Linked DNA regions of Caenorhabditis elegans. The protein of the gene in region 4 purifies or fractionates together with the protein of the main gene of each other region. This does not show direct contact. Each region holds a gene or a part of one and is shown on either strand. Other genes may lie near its edges.

What was found.
Region 1: the proteins of atp-5 (region 4) and ech-6 purify together in Caenorhabditis elegans (affinity purification with mass spectrometry, with the first as the bait; one large-scale study listed by BioGRID). This does not show direct contact.
Region 2: the proteins of atp-5 (region 4) and rpl-31 fractionate together in Caenorhabditis elegans (co-fractionation; one large-scale study listed by BioGRID). This does not show direct contact.
Region 3: the proteins of atp-5 (region 4) and F44E5.1 fractionate together in Caenorhabditis elegans (co-fractionation; one large-scale study listed by BioGRID). This does not show direct contact.

Annotation. Positions count from the first base shown.
Region 1 is NC_003281.10:9,751,052-9,754,515, forward strand, and holds ech-6 (putative enoyl-CoA hydratase, mitochondrial), read right to left. Parts: upstream 1,833-3,464; 5' UTR 1,825-1,832; coding exon 1,522-1,824; intron 1,476-1,521; coding exon 1,265-1,475; intron 1,217-1,264; coding exon 918-1,216; intron 696-917; coding exon 642-695; 3' UTR 501-641; downstream 1-500. Other genes in the region: vps-53 (Vacuolar protein sorting-associated protein 53 homolog), read right to left, coding at 2,777-3,145, 3,353-3,464.
Region 2 is NC_003279.8:13,652,335-13,655,790, reverse strand, and holds rpl-31 (Large ribosomal subunit protein eL31), read left to right. Parts: upstream 1-2,086; 5' UTR 2,087-2,105; coding exon 2,106-2,200; intron 2,201-2,525; coding exon 2,526-2,799; 3' UTR 2,800-2,842; downstream 2,843-3,456. Other genes in the region: sac-2 (SAC domain-containing protein), read right to left, coding at 385-837, 894-1,556.
Region 3 is NC_003280.10:11,773,559-11,776,453, forward strand, and holds F44E5.1 (ATP synthase subunit e, mitochondrial), read right to left. Parts: upstream 1,002-2,895; coding exon 843-1,001; intron 794-842; coding exon 716-793; 3' UTR 604-715; downstream 1-603. Other genes in the region: F44E5.15 (N-acetyltransferase domain-containing protein), read left to right, coding at 1-43, 91-176, 258-334, 382-481; patr-1 (Protein PAT1 homolog 1), read right to left, coding at 1,475-1,720, 1,769-2,102, 2,154-2,653, 2,701-2,895.
Region 4 is NC_003283.11:11,122,305-11,125,852, forward strand, and holds atp-5 (ATP synthase subunit d, mitochondrial), read right to left. Parts: upstream 1,564-3,548; 5' UTR 1,562-1,563; coding exon 1,507-1,561; intron 1,420-1,506; coding exon 1,109-1,419; intron 1,064-1,108; coding exon 890-1,063; intron 846-889; coding exon 810-845; 3' UTR 597-809; downstream 1-596. Other genes in the region: mboa-2 (O-acyltransferase), read right to left, coding at 1-104, 150-170; lmtr-3 (Late endosomal/lysosomal adaptor and MAPK and MTOR activator 5), read left to right, coding at 2,006-2,105, 2,170-2,262, 2,310-2,554; strt-7 (Phosphatidylcholine transfer protein), read left to right, coding at 2,960-2,998, 3,045-3,097, 3,503-3,548.

The DNA.
Region 1 (3,464 bases), on a different chromosome or scaffold from region 4:
GAGAGAGGTAATCAGATATAGAAAATATTAGAAGAGATTGAGAGAAACTAAGAAAGGGCGGCCGAAAATTGGTGGTTAGGTAATGATATACTAGTATAGTAGATAAAAACATTTTTGTACAGTAGAAACTGAAACTGAACTTAATAAATCGTGATAGGGAAGATTTTTCAAACTTTGCCGCTTGATGTTGCTCCCTGCCGGCCATTAAATATTACAAAACTCACGGGAAAGAACCAGTCAAGCCACATCGCTGTCCACTGTTTCTGTAGTGTTTAATTGATTTTTTCTTCGAACAACATAAACAATCAGAAATCACAAATTTAATATTTAGCAGACCCAAGGTGGGTATGCTATTATTCAGCATACAAGTGTGTAGTGTTTCTGTAGTGTTTAATTGATTTTTTTTTCAAAAAAAAAACATAAACAATCACAAATCACAAATATGGAAAATCGAAACTGACTACAAAAAAAAAGGAATCAGAAAATCGTGAAGATGCAGCTTTACATATATATTTATTTTCAATGGCAGAAGAAACTAACCGTAAAATACAGAAAAAATACAAAACACAATAAAAATAATAAAACAAGAAATTCAACTAGGCACTTTGAATCATCTTCTTCTCTTATCTGTAGATGCGCATCTATTTCGACTCCCACTGTGGCTTTCTCTTCTCGGCAAAAGCGGTCATTCCTTCCTGAAAAACATCTTTTAAGGGGAATTTATCAGGTTTTCGAGAAAAATACTAAACTAGGTAGGAAACTGATTATTTCATTTTAAGAGAAGGTGGAATAAAAACTGGAACAATATTTTGATCACTGTATTTATTTGGCAGTTTTTCTACCGTAATAATAAATAAGTTTAAATAATTTATCTACAAAACTAGATTGCAATTTAAAAATTCATTTTGATAATTTACCTTTCTATCCTTGGTGGCAAAAGTGGCATGGAAAAGTCGTCTTTCGAAGTGAAGTCCCTCTTGAAGAGTAAGCTCATAAGCTTTGTTAACGGCCTCCTTTGCCATTTGAACAATCAGTGGAGATTGATCAGCGATTTTCTCTCCAAGTTTCACAGCTTCCCCGACAACCTGATCAGCTGGGAAAATCTTGCTCACAATACCGTGCTCCTTAGCTTCTTGAGCAGTCACGTGGTTTCCAGTAAGGCACACCTCCATGGCAAATGATTTTCCGGCGGCGCGAGCCCAACGCTGAGTACCTCCTGAATCATCGACGTTTAAAAATTTGATTTTAAAATATTGTCAATTACCTGCTCCTGGAATAGTTCCAATGTTAATTTCAGGTTGTCCAAAACGAGCCTTCTCTCCGGCATAGATAATATCACACATCATTGCCAACTCGTTTCCACCTCCCAATGCAAATCCGTTCACTGCAGCAATAACTGGCTTTTTCACATCACTGACAGCGGTCCAGTTGGAGAGGAAGCTTCCAGAAAATGTGGTGGCGAACTCGTTATTGGTCTGAAATCCGATAATTTTTAAAAAATTGGATTATACGCTGACTAACCATCTCCTTGATATCAGCTCCAGCGGCAAAAGCTCTCTCACTTCCAGTAATCACAATTGCTCCGACAGACTTATCAGTATCCAAAACTTCGAGAGCATCAGCCAATTCAGTCATAAGCTGAGCGCACAAAGCATTCAAAGCTTTTGGTCTATTCAGCTTGATAAGAGCAACATTTTGCTTCTCTCCAACTTTCTCGATCTTGATCATTTCAGGAGCTTTGCTTGAAAATGCGGCGACTTGCATTTGGTTGACATTTGCACACAATTTGGCATTGCGAACCAGCATCGACGAGAAGCGCATCATCTTGATTTCTGAAATTTCAGAACTTGAGTTGGAAAATGTTGATAACTAAGAAATGAGAAGAAAATTGGAAGTATTCAAGAAAAAGAAGACAATTGTAAAAGATGCAAAAGTGAACGAAACAGATATGAAAATAGACGCAGACAGTGAGAGATATACGAACGATAGAGCACACAGTGTGAACTGTGATCTATGAACTAATCAACAATAAAAACAAGAAAACACTGCTTTTTAAAGGTTTTTCTTGTTGTTATACAACGTGTCTAAACGTGCCAATTTTTACGTTTTTTCGTCAAGAAGACTCTAATTTGGAACAATTATAATTGTTATTAAATAACACAGACGCAAAATTTAGATTTTTGCCAAAAGAAACCATATCCGGTCTCGACACGACAAATTTGTGTGAAATACAAAAAGATGTGCGCATTTGAAGAGTACTATAATTGCAATTTACATAGCAATTTTTTAGATCCAAATAATTGTTTTTTATTTTCTAAACACATGAAAAATAAAATTCCGAAGATTTAGACCAATTTGGTATGCTGAATAATTAGCAGACCAATTTGGTATGCTAATTATTTATTGGTAAAATTTTACAACAAAAAGGGGAAAGCAGAGACAACTGCGCGAGATAACAGAGAGTGGGTTACTGTACTACTTAAAGGAGCATTCCTTTTTTCACGGCTTCAAAATATTTCGTTTGTGGCGAGAGAGGATACGGTATCTTTGAGTTACTGCATAATAAAAAATCAAATAATTTCGGAGAACAACCCATAAAAATTAAATTAAAACAAAAAGTATAAAAAGTAAGAATTAGAAATCTTATTCACAACTATTAAAACATTTCACATGAATAAATAAATAAATACAAAACTCCGATGAGTATTCTGAGAAACTTTCAAATAAAATTATGTAAATAAATTATAAATTTCGTTCTTTGGTAGTAGATCAACAATCACAATTGTCGTTTGACTAGTCTTTCGAATCTTTTAAGCTTATCAATTGATGACGTCACTGCTTGATCAGACAATCCATCTGCTGCCATTGATACAACTGCATTGAATGCTTCAGATACAGATGCTGCACTTCCAACAGTTGGTAGTGCTCCACCAATCCGAGAAGTTAGACTATTCGATTGTTGAATTGGATCCGAGCCAGATGCACCGATTTTCAATCGATAAGCGTTGAGAACTGCCGAATGCTCTTGTCGTTTAACTCCTTTCATTTCAAGAACTTTTTGCATTTCTGCTGCATCCGACGCTGGTAGAAGTTTAATATATTGTTCAACAAATTCATCGACAGTCTCCAAACTGCACATTACTACCTGAAAAATTATTTATTTTGAATTTCGCGTTTTTGGAAAAATGGAAAACAACAAATTAAAATTTTGGTCTTTCTAAACTTATTTTGACTTTCGAATTTCCGGAAAATTCACAATTTTTTTTTAAATTAAAACCCATGTTTAAAAACCGAATTTTGTTTTTTGATTTTTTGATTTTTCGATCTCTTTAAAAAATCTAAAATGTCTCACTTTCAAAATCATTTCAGCTTTTGTCAGAGCTGCATTCACACTGGTAACGTATGCCGTTGGTGGTTTTGAGTTGATAATACTATCAATTGATGGTACACTGAGCAAAAATGTT
Region 2 (3,456 bases), on a different chromosome or scaffold from region 4:
ACTCGGAAAACGATTTAATACTCATTTTTTTAGTTTATAAATACGATTTTCTGTTTCAAAGACACTCTAGAAAAACTTTGGGTGAGGCTCCCAAAATCTGTGTAGTTTGTAGTGTTAGCCTCACTCAAACTACAACGCTTACTTTTTGAAAATAGAGCCTTCTATAATGAAAAGTTTCAGGTTTTTAGAACAAAAATCGATTTTTCCAGCAAAATTTGTTATTTTTTCTGTCAAAAAAACTTGATTTTAGAAAAAATGTGAGTTTTTTTACTGGAAAATCAGAAAAAACATATGGGTGAGGCTCTCAAAATTTTGTAGTTTGTAGTGTGAAGCCCCACTCAATTCAATTTTATTCGAATTTTATTTTCAATCAAAAAATTTTACTTTTTGAAAATTAAGCCCTCTACAATGCTGATGCAAATCAAACGAGAAAAACGTGACGTCATTATCATCGGCCTTCACACAATGCTCCAGAAACCTCTGAGCCAGCGGAAGCTCTCTGCCACGTTGATCCACGAGGCTTACCGCCACAAGAGGAGTGTCGTAGTGGGCTTTAAGCCGTTTAAAATGCTCCGTGAACACGCCATGCGTCTCCTCCACAGATCTATTGATAATTAGCGGTGGGCGATACTTGAAGCCACGCTGAGACCAGAATACGGGAATCGAGCCGCGGCACTGCACAAAACTGAGCTCATGCTCGAAAATGTTCAAAATGAGCTCAGTTTCCACGAAGTTTGCCACGTTGGAAGCCTCGTCGATGCCACGTCGTAGGTAGCGGGCTCCCGCGCGGCGGGTAGATCGTCGGGAAATTATTGTGATTGTCAGATAGGCGTTTATCTGGAAATTTATTCAATAATCTAATTATTTAATTAATTTGTGGGATTTTTTAATACCTGATCCGTAATTTCCAGCTGACTTGTGGCCACATATCCTTGCATAATTGGGCATGTGAATTTATCGGAAATTTTGGCTTCTCCCAGGTTTCCCACCATCCTCTTATTCCAAAAAAACGAATCCTCCGACGTATGAGCCTCACGCTTCTCGAAATACTTTTGTGAGGATATTGTGACGTCACGGCTTCGACAAAAGTAGAAATCCTTCGAATCATTGAACAGCTTGAGCACATCATCCAGTAAAGCCGGACGGGGCTCGGCTTTTGTCACTTTTTCCGCGAAAAACTTCATTATTTTCTCGGTTCCTTGCTTTAATTTAGTGCCGGAGCCCGGGGTGATTTGAGATTTTATCACGGAGCCATCGGATTTCACATTTATCGCGATAACCCGCTCGATTCTCCGGATTGAATGGGAGCTCTCGGCTGACGTTCCTCTATAACACGCTACCACCGAACTATCGACGACGAAAAACAGAAAATGCTGCTCGTCAAACGATATTTTTCCGATCAAAAACTCGACGTTTCCGCACAAAACCACATCTTGATCGAGGATTTCCAGCGATTCTTCCGGTTTTTCCAGTACTTTCCCATTTCTGCGATCAAATTCCACACGTTCTCCTTGTTCTTCGAGTATTAAAGCTGTTGGTGTTGTGTAAATTATCATCTGAAAACAAAGCGATTTTTTTTTGAAGTCAAGAAGAAGTTGTAACTCACTTTTCCAGTAGTTTTCCGGCAATTTTCCACTATTTACTTTGTAATTCTAACACGCCGATTTCGGAAATCAGCAATTTAGCATTTGGAAATAAAAAATTTGGTCTTTGTTTGTACAAATCGTCCCGTTTTGTGAGTCATCTCGGCGAAAATAAACACAAAAGAAAAATAATGCAAGTATGCTCCGTTGAACTTTCTTAAAGGCGCATGGATTTATCTCGATGGGTCTCGCCACGATTAGGGAATTGCAATGGAGTTTTCCATTTTTATCCTAAAAATTTTTACGCTTTTCCAATGGAAATTTGTGATTTTTTCGTAAATTTTTATTTTTTTTCATTTAAAAAATATTTTTTCAATGTGTAAATCGTATAATTATCATGTTTTCTCTCTGAAATAAAGCTCCTACTATGATTTTTATGCATTTTTCCTTATAATTCTTGTGTTCTCAGTTTCTAGTTTAATTTTAAAATTAAGATTTTTCAGGTAATCCAGTCAAGTCGCGATGGCTCCAAAGAACGAGAAGAAGTCCCGCAGCACCATCAACGAGGTCGTCACCCGTGAATACACCATTCACATCCACGCCCGCATCAGAGGAATGTAAGTTTACACTATTTTCCATCTTTCGCTCAAATTTCCTGCTCACATGCTAACACGTGCTCCACCTGGAAGCGGTGTGTTGGCCCACGCCTGTCATCGCAGCTCTTTAATGAGCAGGTTCTAGCCCGAACCGCGGTGGCCGGACTAACGGAGCTTACCCGCCTCGTTTTCTGGTGAGTGGCTCTCTCCAGAAACGCCGTTCGTTTCTCATTCGAGAATCGGACGGAGATCTCAGGGGCATCCTCAAATTCGGTTGAAATATAGCGGGAAATCAGAGGTAAAAATGATGATTTTGCGAAGTTCTTATCCAATAATGCGTTTTCAGCGGATCCAAGAAGCGTGCTCCACGTGCCATCGACGAGATCAAGAAGTTCGCCAAGATCCAGATGAAGACCAACGATGTGCGTGTCGACACCAAGCTCAACAAGTTCATCTGGTCCAAGGGAATCAAGAACGTTCCATACAGAGTTCGTGTCCGTCTCTCCCGCCGCCGTAACGAGGATGAGGACTCCGCTCAAAAGCTCTACACCCTCTGCACCTACGTTCCATGCACCAACTTCCACGGACTCACCAACGTCAACGTTGACAGCGAGGAATAAGTATTGTTGATTCAATAAAATTGTTGTTACCTTTAATAAAAAAGGTTTTGATTTTCGAGGTTGGGGGAGAACAGAAGCTGTTTCAGAGGTTGCTTTCACTCGAATTTTCTGTCGTTTTTCCCTTGAAAACAGTATTTCTCCTTCGAAAAGGCTCTAGTACGGATTCCTAGTAGTGGGATTTTCAATCGATTCTCGAATATTTGCAGCCACGTGGTCAGATTTGTCTGCTTTAGAGTCCTCATTCAGATTTTTTAAAAAAGTTTCGAATGCTCTCATTTATTCAAACAAAGAATAATCAGTCCTTATCAACCTTGCACGTGGCAACTGGAGCCTTGATGGTAACGTGATCGGCAGAGGCGATGAAGATTTGGAGAAGGATCTGGAATGTTCTAGGTTTACACAAATCCTGAAGAAATTGAAACTTACAGCGATGAGGACGAAGACACGACGGAACATGTTGAGGAAGTGGTGGATGATGGATTTTCGGACAAAAACTGGGAATCTTTTATACTGGAACGTTTATTGCACCCGCGGGGTGCTAAACCATTCGTTTTTTGCATACTTTTTTAGGGGGTTTTTGCAATTTCTAGCGTTTGCAGTTCAGGTCGAAGATCGGAAGTTCAGTTGGAAAAGCTGGAAATTTCATGGTTTTTGAAA
Region 3 (2,895 bases), on a different chromosome or scaffold from region 4:
AGCATATGGAACTCAGGTCAAGAAATTGGATGCGTAAAAATATGTTTGTTTTCGAAATGTTGAAATCTGATTACAAACTTAATTATTTAGTTGTTGGCGTGTCGAGTACGGTAGCACAAATAAAAGAGGCTGCAATGATCAAGGCCCTCTCTAAACACGACCTCACCAATAAAATAGTAAGCGAGTTTCCATAACAAAAATGTCTTAAACTTGGAACTTTCACCGGAACCCTAAATTCATCGCCATCTTTTTTTCAGGAAGGTTCCTTCCTTGGTTTATCGAATATCTGGAATAACAAAGATAAATGTCAGTATGGATCATTCTGCATCAGAAAGTACGGGATTTGTCATTTGACACCTTTTACTAACTTTTAAATTTCAGAGCATATGATCAGATGAAGAAGGACGATATTAAGCGTGTGAGCAAAAGTATGGTTGAATTGTTTAAAGATCCTGAAACTCGGAAATTATTTTCTCACTAAGTGAAATTATTTTTTTTTTTCCAATTTCTCAACAGAACATCCTAGAATTTCTGAAAAACCTGAATATAAACTAGTTGCCTTATTTTATCCACAGAATATTGTATAATTTTGCCGAACGTTTTCGAATCGGGTAGTTTATTCAAAAGAACATAGCATTACATAAACCGACAAATCTGGACAAAACTATTGTCCAATAAAAGAAAATTAAACCAAATCTAGGTGCATCCGACTGAATTAGTGATGAGCTGGGGCGGCAGCAGCGACGTTGGCGATGGCCTTGGCAGCTTTTCTCTCGGCGCGGGCAATTTCGGCCTGAAAATGAACAATTTTTTTTGAGAATAACAATAGGGAAACGCTTTACCTTTCTGTTCTGGTTCCACTTGAACATGTAGTACATCCCAACGTAGCTCAAGAGGGCGGCACGGCAGATGTTGGCACGTCCGAAATGCTCGTGTGGGTTGAGGTAGAGTCTCTTGGTTTGGACGATTGATTGCCAAATTCCACGAACGGTGTCTGCCATCTAAAACGGAATGATTGGAAACAATTTTTGACATTGAGAACAGAATTTAGAAAATAATACCGGAAAGAAAACCGATTACTCGACAAAGACATCATTAAAATAAATGAATAAATAATAATATTTATGAATATTTCTTTGGCAAAATAAGAATTGTGAGGTGGGATTACAATATATGTTTTTTACCTAATACAATATTAAATAAAGTAATATTAGGAGAGAATATTAGACACGTATATTACGCAATATATAATGATATCGAATATCGAGCTTGGGATAAGTTAGCATGTGACAAGAACCAACATCAAGTTTCACAGACAAAGTGATAATGTGATACTAAACGGACGGAATGATTCAGTAGGGCCGTATGGGGGATCATTGGGGGTGAGTTCAATTTTGGGAAATGCAAAAAATTAGGGGTTGAGAGGAAAATGTCACAATAAGGTCATCTCTCTGGTTAGGATGTTTAAAATAAATTAGAGTGATTGCTCGATTAGTTGAGCGACATCATGGCAATCGACAATTCCTGAGTACTTGATATCATCGGCAAATTCTTTGATCTCGCTGTCGCTAATGACGCTGAGAGCCTTTCTCCAGATACTGAGTGGAGCACTTGAAGGCATTTTTAAGCTGGAGAACTTCGTAGCTTTGGCCCACTCCACCAATTGTTGATTATTCTTGACACTGACAAAGAACAACGTCATCATCATGTCCCTGATGAACTGAAAACAAAAATAAAAAATTAATTAATTTCTAAAAATTATCGTTACCATGTTACTATCCAAAAGTTGCCTCTTGAGAGTATCCAAGTTAAGAGCTCCAACAAGATACTTGAATTGGTCGGGATGAAGATTTGAGACTTTCTGATAAACAACTGGGAGAATGTCCAGAACGATCTCTCCATACATCTTCTTGCTCACAAGTCCACCAGCCGTCATCAATGCAAGAATAATTCTTGCTTGGTCTCTTGGTTCAACAACTTTAAGAGTTCTCGTAATAACTGCTCTTCCTTTGGACATTTGCATGAGTTTAGACAAGTCATCCCCCATTAATTCGTTGATGATAACTGTCGTACGCTTCTCAACTTCTTGGTCTTTCTCATCGCTGAAATAATAAGATTTTACAAAAAAATATTCAGAAACAGTATATACACACCTGCTCAAGTCTTTAAACTGCGACTTTTCAGGCAGCGATGATCGTCGAAGCTCATCAACCTCCATCAGAATGTTCAATGCTCCTTCTAAACGTAGAAGCATCGTACGAAGTTTCTTCGCAACGGCGATTTTTCTTTCTTCGTCCGACAACTTCTTTGTTTGATTGTCCACGCTTTCTACTTGAGCCTTCATATCGAGAACATGGCGCGGGTTGTGGGTAGAAGATTTTGATGGCAAACCCAAACTTGTTGCAAATTTGTCTGAAAGTGTCTGCCGCAACTTTTTGTCTTCTCCACGATCAATTCGTTCTTGACGTTCTCTTTGTCGTTCCTTGTCACGTTCACGAGCCCTCTCTTTCTGCATCTCTCGATAATTCATTCGACTGATACGTTCAAGATAATCCTTCTGTGACTCGGACGACTTTTCTTTCTTCTCTTTAGTAGCTTCTTCCAACTTGGTTTCGGCAGTCCACCCGTTCGCTATTTGCTTATCACGCCATGTCTTTAAAATGTTAATTTTAATAAAACACTCTGAATATTTAAGCCTACCACATAGTAATAATCATCGACTTGCGGATCACCAGAACCCTTACACTGAATAAATTGGATTCTAATGAGCCATTCACGTTCCTTGTAAGACATGTAACCAGCGAAAGAATCAAGGGCAAGATCATATATTGTCCGTGTAGATGGCATTCCAGAATGTTTACGCTGAACTCTGTTTCCTGGACTGTGAGGTCCAGA
Region 4 (3,548 bases):
TCTGAACTTTTCCTTGACGAATTACCATTTTGTGCAAATGAGGAGCGTCTACTGGAAGCCAAAGAACCATTAGATGTTTCCGAAGGCTGACGCCGCCGTCGTCCCTGAATTTAGTTTTTAAAAAAACTTTAGAAAATAATAAAACTAACCGTTTGTTGACGCATTTGCATCAGAAATACTTAGGTAACCCTGAAATTCTTAAATGTAGAAGAATCAAGAAACTGCAAAAAAATTTCGGAAAAGAATAACAAGTCAGGCCTGTCGTGCCTCCGTCTGTTTGTTTCATATTTATCGAATCAAGATAAGAGACAACGCGTCTGGCGCCTCTTGATTAAATGTGATCTATCACTTATTTAGAACAATAGTGCACTTCACGCCAATTCTTGATCTTTACATGGAATCCGAATTCAATGTACATAATACACTGACATTAATTGAAACTATGGAAATATTCGTTCAACTTCATTAGTTGGTTTTAACATGAAAAGAAAAAACTTGTTTTGATATCTTCAATCCGATCATCGAAGGTAATCAATGATGCCAACAGATTCTTTTCGCGCGAATTGCAAAGAAATTCTCATATAATATAAAGGAAACATGCGAAAGTTCTTTATCTTGCCATCACTCTTATGAAATACATAATCTGAAGAAGGGGGTATCGACTGCATAAGCTCCCAGGCACATAAAAAAATTCGACGAAATTATAAAACAAACGGCTACAAAACAAATCAAAATGGTCTTAAAAATGGTAGGAGAGCGATAAGGAAGAACGAGAGTTGTCTACTGAACGGTACATCATGATAAATCGTTTAATGGTCGTCAACCTTGTCGGCACGTCGAAGAACCTGAAAATTAATAAATATGACTATAATTTGGTAAATTTCTCCACCTTGTAGTCCTTGAATCTGTTCTCAATTTCTGGAGTCTCGTTGAGTCCGATGTTGCATGGATCAGGAATTCTGTTCTGGTAGCGAAGATCATAGAAATGAGCTGGGAAATACTCGACGAAATGCTGACGATCGAAATGTTCAACTGGTGGAGCCTTGGCCCACTTTTCCTCCACCTGGAAAAAGAATATTAAAAATCTTTTCGAAATAAAAGTAATAACCTTCTTGGCCTCCTGAAGTCCATCAGCGACCTTGACCTCATGAAGCTTAATACGGGCGTTGTTGTAATCAACCCATTGGTCTACTTCCTTCAAATACTCGGCTGGAACCTCTCCGTATGGGATCTTTACAGATTCATACTGCTTTTGAAGAGAATCGAGAACTGCCGAATGAGCCGGGAGGGCCTTCTTCAAAGCAGCAAAGTCGATCTTGGGAAGATCGGCCGGGAGCTGGCTGACAGCGGATTGGAAAGTTCCACTGACTCCCTTCACGCGGGTGAGTTCTGCGGCGTGTTCCGGGACCAAACGCTCGGCTGAAATTAAAAGTTAAAACACTAAATTGTGGAGAAGTTATTTATTACATACGTAAAATACCGTAACTTGTGACTTAAACAACTTACCGAGCTTCGACCAGTTCACGGAAGACGTCGCTACCCTCTTAGCGGCTCCAGACATACCTATAAAAATTGTGATGTTTTAACCTTATTTAGATTAACAGGAAAACGATTTTTGAAAATAAAAAGTAAATATGCTTAATTAGCAGGAAAATTGAATCGTTCACAAACAAAGAAACATAGAATAACTATTTTGAGTTGTTTTCAATTTTTAAGTAACGGAATGAACTGAAAAATAAGCTAAAACAGCTGAAAAGCACAAAAAATAGTATTTTCTGTTCAAAAGGGTGGAGTCTATCGCCCGTGAAAACGCAAAGTGCGGCGCGGTTTTCTCGGGTTCCTCGGCCATTTTTATCGGCCCTCGGGACAAAACTCGGCCACCAAAACCGATTTCAGATTTTTACTCTTATTTTATCAATTCAAGAATTTTCCTTATGTTGCTGATTATTTTAGTGGTATCTGTAGTTAAAAAAAAAAACAAAAAAGACATTGTTTCAGTAAAATGATGAACGTCCAACAAGAGCTCGAAGAGCTTATGCTTACCTATGAGGGGGTCTGCGCAATCTTCATCACTGATCACGATGGAGGTCTCATTCTGAATATCGGTAAGTATTTTCATCAATAAAACCAATAATTAATATAAACTTTAAAAATATAACCATTTTTCAGGTCTTCCATCGACATTGGATAATTCTAGATTCAGGCAACAGCTGATTGTCAGTCACGTGACAACAATCCCTCAAATTCACAAACTCGACATGGGTTAGTTATTGACTTCTCATTTTTATTTCTACTCAGTTATGTTTTAGGAGGTCATCAAACAACCTTTGCATTGTACGAGTCCCACCAAATTGCTGTTCATTCTATTGACAAGTATTATTTCATTGTTCACGCTGGAACCAACACGAACACTGGCGCCATGCTCTCTTTGCGTGAGAAATTATTTCCCATCGGCAGTCATATGATGTCACTTTGCCCACCAATTGATGGAGATGCTCTTTTACCACCACCATCGTACCCTTCTGCAGCTGCACCTCCCCCAGATTTCGACTAATAATTATGTGGTGGCTGCTCTCATTTTCCTGTGATTCCATGATTCGATATCTTTACTCAGCTTTTCAAGTTCATGCCAATCTTAAAAAACCAATCTAACTTTTCTTGTTTTCAAATTATCATACCCAATAACCGTATTTCCTGTAAAAACCTTCCCAGTTTTCTATTGATTCTCATCAAGAATAAAATTAAATTGAAAGATCCGTGGTTACAGAACATGCCTGTTTTCTCGTTGGTTTCTGCCAAAAACTATCTATTTTATACATCTCTAACGTGAACTGACTATAGCATAGATCAATCACTCTGATCGTTTTTTTTTCACTGACCGTACTGATCAAAATCATTTTTCAATCATTTCTTTTAGATTTACTCGAATGCAATAAAGTAAGTCTTATCAAACAAAGATATGCTGAACAGAAATTGGAGCAGTTTTTTGTTTAAACAGGTAAACAATATTTTGATTGAAGTGTGTTCAATTATAATACGTTTAGGTTGCACTGTATCGAAACTTCCGTCAAAATTGGTCACGATTCAAGACGAAAGCGTAAGTCAACTATTATGGAGTGAAGTAGGACCAAAAAAGTCTTACCAAAAAACAAAAAAACAGATTTTGATTTTGGACCAAGAACTACAAATTGGAATTTGTGACCATAAAACCCAAAAAAAGTCGATTTTCGATTTATTTTGAACTTTTAGAAAAAATCATTGAAAACCATTAAAACATATTTTGCTTAAGAAGATTTGTAAAATATGAAAAAAAAGCGTAGATTTTAGTCCAAAATTCGAAAATTCAATTTTTTCAATAAAAAAAATAAAAACCAAAAATAAAACTTTTTTTTTCGCTTCAAACATGTCTAAAAAATTAAAATTTTTTAAAACAACCAAAATAAAAACCATTTTTTGCCAAAAAATAAAAAAGGGCAGTCCTATTCAAATTATTGTTTTTTAGCGTTCTGTACTCCTACTCATTCTACCGTGGAGACCGACGTTTCGGC